2 linked regions of the Callithrix jacchus genome follow. The protein of the gene in region 2 interacts with the protein of the main gene of each other region in a biochemical or structural test. Links are inferred from orthologs where the notes say so. Each region holds a gene or a part of one and is shown on either strand. Other genes may lie near its edges. The genes, in order: NFKBIE and REL.

What was found.
Region 1: the proteins of REL (region 2) and NFKBIE form a complex in vitro, tested with the Homo sapiens proteins (2 studies listed by BioGRID). The link is inferred for Callithrix jacchus from reciprocal best matches to the Homo sapiens genes REL and NFKBIE.

Annotation. Positions count from the first base shown.
Region 1 is NC_133505.1:52,725,578-52,728,327, reverse strand, and holds part of NFKBIE (NF-kappa-B inhibitor epsilon), read left to right. Parts: intron 1-159; coding exon 160-262; intron 263-984; coding exon 985-1,207; intron 1,208-2,236; coding exon 2,237-2,325; intron 2,326-2,511; coding exon 2,512-2,750. UniProt on the Homo sapiens protein: Sequesters NF-kappa-B transcription factor complexes in the cytoplasm, thereby inhibiting their activity. Sequestered complexes include NFKB1-RELA (p50-p65) and NFKB1-REL (p50-c-Rel) complexes.
Region 2 is NC_133515.1:53,212,433-53,216,257, reverse strand, and holds part of REL (proto-oncogene c-Rel), read left to right. Parts: coding exon 1-207; intron 208-1,905; coding exon 1,906-1,974; intron 1,975-2,424; coding exon 2,425-2,493; intron 2,494-3,601; coding exon 3,602-3,825. UniProt on the Homo sapiens protein: Proto-oncogene that may play a role in differentiation and lymphopoiesis.

The sequences.
Region 1 (2,750 bases), on a different chromosome or scaffold from region 2:
CTTCCCACATCAACCCTTACTTCCTGGCCCAAATTCTCACTTGCTGGACCTACCCTATGGGTAGCTAGTAAAAGTTGATGTGTTCCTTCTAACCCCAAGACCCCAACCCACTCCCTGTGGCCTGGGCCCTAACTGTAAGCCCTGCCTCTGCTCCCCTAGGCTGGTCCACCTGGCAGTGATTCACGAGGCCCCAGCAGTGCTGCTCTGTTGCCTGGCTTTGCTGCCCCAGGAGGTCCTGGACATTCAAAACAACCTTTACCAGGTTGGTGACGAGAATGGGTTGTGCCCAGATACCTGTTTGTGCCCTGACAGCCATCCCCAGCAGCCACGCTAGTCCATAGGCCGCTCACTGAGAAAACCATATGCCAGACACTGAGCTAGAAGCTGAAGAGACAAACACAAGTAAGACACAGCCTCTCCCTAAGGTGCTTGCAGCCTGGGCTGGGGGACTCGTGTCAACAGCTAAATACACAGCCTGGTGACAAGAGCTGTGATAGAGACACACACCAGCTGCTATGGGGTCCACCGTCCATGTGTAGCAGCCAGGGAAGGCTTACAGAGGAGGTGACATCTGAATGGAGCCTTTGCAGAGACGTTTGCCAGGGAAAGACTGCCTGGTGCCTCTATCTTTCCTCCAACATAACCCCTGCAGCCTAAGGCCTGGGGATAAGAGAAGTCTCCCCACAGGATGAGAGGCTAGACTCTGTCCCTACATATCCTTTCTCCAGGGCCTATGGTGACTTACAAGAAAAGCAGAGAGCTACTTTCTTCACCTTGCTTCCAGAATTGGGGTCCCAAGAGATTGGTGGGACTCAGGCGTGACAGGAGAAGGGCTTGGTAGTATTTCCTTGGAAGCCCAGGCTATGACCTTTATAAGTGGCTTTCAAAGAAGACGCTGGCAGCTAGTGATTCTGGAGCCCAAGCTTGTTCCCAGAGGTGGGAGCATGCTGCAGTGGCCCCATGACCCTCTATTTGTGCCTCCAGACAGCACTCCATCTGGCTGTACATCTGGACCAACCGGGTGCAGTTCGGGCACTGGTGCTGAAGGGGGCCAGCCGGGCACTACAGGACCGGCATGGTGACACAGCCCTGCATGTGGCCTGCCAGCGCCAGCACCTCGCCTGTGCCCGCTGCCTGCTGGAGGGGCGGCCAGAGCCAGGCAGAGGACCATCTCACTCTCTGGACCTCCAGCTGCAAAACTGGCAAGGTGTGGACAGTCTTAGGGCCTGTGGGAGGAGGAGGGCATAGGAGATAGGGCTCCCATTCTTGGGGAAGGGAGGGTCCCAGCTTGTCCATTGGTGCCCCTCCCACTGTAAGCACATAGATATACAGCACATCTTTGCTAAATGAATGAATGGATGAGTTAGAATTTACCCAGTACCTACTGCGTGCTGAGCAGAAAACTAAATCTTGCTTTTAAGGTACTTAGTTTAACAGAGATCAGATGACCCGATTCATTCATTCAACAGAAACATGCCGAGGGTTTTCTGTGTGCCAGACATTATCCTAGGAACTATGCTTGCGTCTGTGTGCAAAACAGAGAAAGATTGAGACAAGCAATAAATACAAGAAGTGAACTATGTAATAAGTTAAAAGGAAGCAAGTGCTGTAGTGAAAAGTAGAGCAGTGAGGGGAAGGAATGTGGGGAACAGGAGAGTTGATAGGATTGTTAAATAGAGTGGTCAGGGAAGGCCTCATGGAGCCAGGGACATCCGCACAGGGACTTGAGGGAGGTGAAGAATGTAAGTTTGAATCAAAATCTCTATTACTAAGCAAGGGTCAGGAAGTGTCCAAGTGTCCAGACCAGAAAGGGGACAGCAAAAAGGCCAGGAGAACACACAGAAGGAAGTGGCCCCTGAGAAAGGGCTGGGGTCATGAGGATCCTAGATGGCTTTTCAGAAAAGATGGCTTTCAGACTGGGCTTGAAGGCAGGTGTGTGTGTGTGTGTGTGTGTGTGTGTTTTGTGTATAGGAGGAGGGTGTTTTTTTGGCATGTCACTCAGCAACTTGACTCCTGAAGCATGAAAGTTTCAATAACATGACTCTGAAAAGGTGGAAACTTTGAGTTCCTTTCCCCTTAAATTTTTGAGGGGGTTTTGGGGTTTGCATTTTAACAGTCTTGTGATTAGAGACATTGAGTGGGCAGTGAGTCCCTTGGGGCTGAATGGCTGGAAGGTCCCGGAAGAGAGGGAGTTGGTGGATGCAGATCAGCAGCCCTCACCCTCACCCCATCCCAGGTCTGGCTTGTCTCCACATCGCCACCCTGCAGAAGAACCAACCACTCATGGAACTGCTGCTTCAAAATGGAGCCGACATTGATGTGCAGGTGAGGCAGCCATCAGCACACTGCCTGGCACAGGGCCTTCCCCCCACCTGACTCTGCCCCCCACCTGACCCAGCCCCAAGCCCCCTGCCCAGCGGTCAGAAGTGGTAGCATTTACCTCCTTATCCAGAGCCTGGGCCCAGCACACTGCCTCTGAAGGCCTTGGCTGATATCCTTATTTCTTCCCAGGAGGGCACCAGTGGGAAGACAGCGCTGCACCTGGCTGTGGAAACCCAAGAGCGGGGCCTGGTACAGTTCCTGCTCCAGGCTGGTGCCCAGGTGGATGCCCGCATGCTGAACGGGTGCACACCCCTGCACCTGGCAGCTGGCCGGGGCCTCATGGGCATCTCATCCACTCTGTGCAAGGCGGGTGCTGACTCCCTGCTGCGGAACGTGGAGGATGAGACACCCCAGGACCTGACTGAGGA
Region 2 (3,825 bases):
TAGAAGTTCGTTTTGTGTTGAATGATTGGGAAGCAAAAGGCATCTTTTCACAAGCTGATGTACACCGTCAAGTAGCCATTGTTTTTAAAACCCCACCGTATTGCAAAGCTATCACAGAACCTGTAACAGTAAAAATGCAGTTGCGGAGACCTTCTGACCAGGAAGTTAGTGAATCTATGGATTTTAGATATCTGCCAGATGAAAAGGGTATGACATTATGCTGGTAATAATTTATATATTTCTTAAAGTGGTCCTGCTAATAACATCTTGTAAGATTCATTTAAATACAGCTATGTATATTCATAATTTGTGTTTCTTTTCCTGGAAACTTTCCGTTGGGTTTTTTTCTTTATGCTCTTTGCATCTCATTTGTTGTTTTTTTTTTTTTTTTTGGTTTTGTTTTTTTGAGACTGAGTCTTACTCTATCACCCAGGCTAGAGTGCAGTGGTGCAATCTCAGCTCACTGTAACCTCCGCCTCCCGAGTTCAAGCAGTTCTGCCTCAGCCTCCCAATTAGCTGGCACTATAAGCACGCACCACCACCCCCAGCTACTTTCGTGTTTTTATTAGAGATGGGGTTTCACCATGTTAGCCAGGCTGGTCTCTGCGTTTCTTTCTTAAGAAAGAGGTTTGGGCCAAGCTCGGTGGTTCACGTCTGTAATCCTAGCACTTTGGGAGGCCAAGGTGGGCGGATCACAAGGTCAAGAGATGGAGACCACCCTGGCCAAAATAGTGAAACCTTGTCTCTACCAAAAATAGAAAAATTAGCTGGGCATGGTGGCACGCACCTATAGTCCCAGCTATTTGGGAGGCTGAGGCAGGATATTTGCTTGAACCTGGGAAAAAGAGGTTTCAGTGAGCCGAGATCATGCCACTGCACTCCAGCCTGGCGACACAGCAAGACTCTGTCTCAAAAATAAAAAAAGAGGTTTGATTAGTATGGAATAATTTCAAAGTATCTAAACTGCTTATTAAAATTTCTATTGTATTTTTGAAGGTCTATTTTTGTCCTTGTGCACTTACCACTCAGAGAGTAGTCTCTATATTGACTTCTTATCCAACCTTATTGTATTAGTTCACATTATTGACTTGTGTGATAAGAAAACAAGATGAATATTTTAAACTGTTTGTTTTGGTTTGTTTTGAGACAGGGTCTCACTCTGTCACTCAAGCTGGAGTGCAGTGGCATGATCATGGCTCACCAGAGCTTCAACCTCCTGGGCTCAGGTGATTGATCATCCCACCTCATCCTCTCTGGAGTACCAGGACTACAGGTGTGCACCACCACACCAGGCTAATTTTTGTGGGTTTTGTTTGTTGGTTTGAAATGGAGTCTTGCTCTATCTTCACCAGGCTGGAGCGTAGTGGTATGATTTCGGCTCACTGCAGCCTCTGCCTCCCGATTTAAGCGATTCTCCTGTCTCAGCCTCCTGAGTAGCTGGGACTACAGGCATGTGCCACCACACCCAACTAATTTTGTATTTTTAGTAGAGACAGAATTTCACCATGTTGGCCAAGCTGGTCTCAAACTCCTGACCTCAGGTGATCCACCCTCTTTGGCCTCCCAGAGTGCTGGGATTACAGGCATAAGCCACTGTGCACAGCCAGTTTTTGTATTTTTTGTGGAGACAGGGTTTTGCCATGTTGCCCAGGCTGTCCTCAAACTCCTGGGCTCAAGTGATCCACCTGCCTCTCGAAGTGCTGGGATTACTTTAAACAATTTTTTACCAAGAGAAAAATATCCTTTACTACTGATAGTACTGATTTGGGACATATTCTATAATACTTATTAAATCCAAATTATATACATATTTATTGAAAACATTTTCTATATGTGAATAAAATACTTGTTTATTAGTGGAGAGTTTAATTTTTTACCTGCTTTTTTTGGTTTCTTTCTAATCAGATACTTACGGCAATAAATCAAAGAAACAAAAGACAACTCTGCTTTTTCAGAAATTGTGGCAGGATCATGGTAAGAATATTTTTGATTGATTCATATTTAAATAGGTTTTGTTTTATTTGCTTTATTCAGGTTTTCAATTTTTACTTTTGTTTTGTTTTTGTTTAGTAGAGACAGGGCCTGTCTTTCAGCCAGGATGGAGTGCGGTGGGGCAATCTCAGCTCACTGCAACCTCCACCTCCCAGGTTCAGCAATTCTCCTACCTCAGCCTCCTAATTAGCTGGGATTACAGGCATGTGCCATCACACCTGGCTAATTTTTAGTATTTTTATTAGAGGCGGGGTTTCCCCATGTTGGCCAGGCTAGTCTCAAACTCCTGACCTCACGTGATCCACCACCTTGGCCTCCAAAAGTGCTGGGATTATAGGCAGAAGCCACCACCTCTGGCTGGTTTTTCAAATTTTAACTGATAGTGTTATTTTTCAAATTATATTTAATAATGGAAAAACTTTATCCTAACAGTTAATTTTCCTGAGAGACCAAGACCTGGTCCCCTTGGATCAATAGGAGAAGGAAGATACATCAAAAAAGGTATTTTATTTCCTATAGCATATTTCTTGTGATTAGAAAGACCAGAGCTTGGCACAATGTATTGGAACTCTGTATTTAGGAATGAATAACTACTTTTTTGAAAATTTTCTCTCCTTCAGATTTTTCTTGGTTTCAGTATAGAATGAATTGAACATGGCTTCTGAAGGTTGTGTTAGAAACAGATTGTGTTTTTGGGATTTATTTTTCAAGAAATAACATGTGTTTTATACAGTAGCAATTTTATTAATTATATCATGTTATGGAAAAAATGTTATTGATTTGGTTAGTTACCAATTTTTATAAATACAATTTTACTGGAACATGGCTATGAATATTTGATTAAATACTGTCTCTAAACTGCCTTTTTAACACCATGGCAACAGAGTTGAAAAGTTCCAACAGAGGCTGTATATAGCTCACAGAGCCTAAAATATTTACTATCTGACTTTTTACAAGAAAAAAAATTGCCAATCCCTAGTTTAGATAATTTGACCAAGGGCTAACGGGCTAATTAGAAGTCCTTTCTACCCCCTTACATTCTTAAATCAGTGCTTTTTCCTGGTTTAGGTTGTCAAGCATTTGTATAATATGTAAATAAATACAGAATTAATTTTTTCTGACTGTGAATTTTATAGTCTGTTAGGATTGTGTCATAATATATCTTAAAAGTTGTGTATTTTCTTATTATCCCTAATGGGTGTTTTCTCCATCCTTCCATTTTCTCCTAAAAGTGGAGAGTAAGAGATGATTTTGGCTGTTTGGAGTCCCATTAATTAAAATTCTCATATTTATCTTCCAGTTTTCAAAAATACATTTATAGAGCCTCAGAAACTAGATTTTCATTTAACTGGAGTGAAAGTACATATGCCAGAGTAATTTGCCAAAATCATTTTTCCTGTATTTGTAAACGGTATATGTTACAGAATTTCATTTTGGATTTGTGTAATAATTTTAGTGCTTTTTACATTTTTTATTTGAAATGTTACATTGGTTTCCTTGACATTTTTTTGTGTATTTATTTGTGTTCATATGCAATTTTAATTTAGAAATAATACTTTTTCTAATTTTGTTTATTTTAATTTTGTAAAATAAATTTTTCCTCCCACAGAACCAAACTTGTTTTCTCATGGTGCAGTTGCGACAGAAATGTCCAGACCTACAGGGATTTCAAATCAAGGAGAATCCTACTATCTCTCACTTGGGCACATCTCAAGTGGATTGTCACGTCATGCCTCAATGCCACCTCCGCCTTCTTCAAGCTGGTCATCAGTGGCCCACCCCACCTCACGCTTAGTCAATACAAATCCACTGAGCAGTTTTTCAACAGGGACA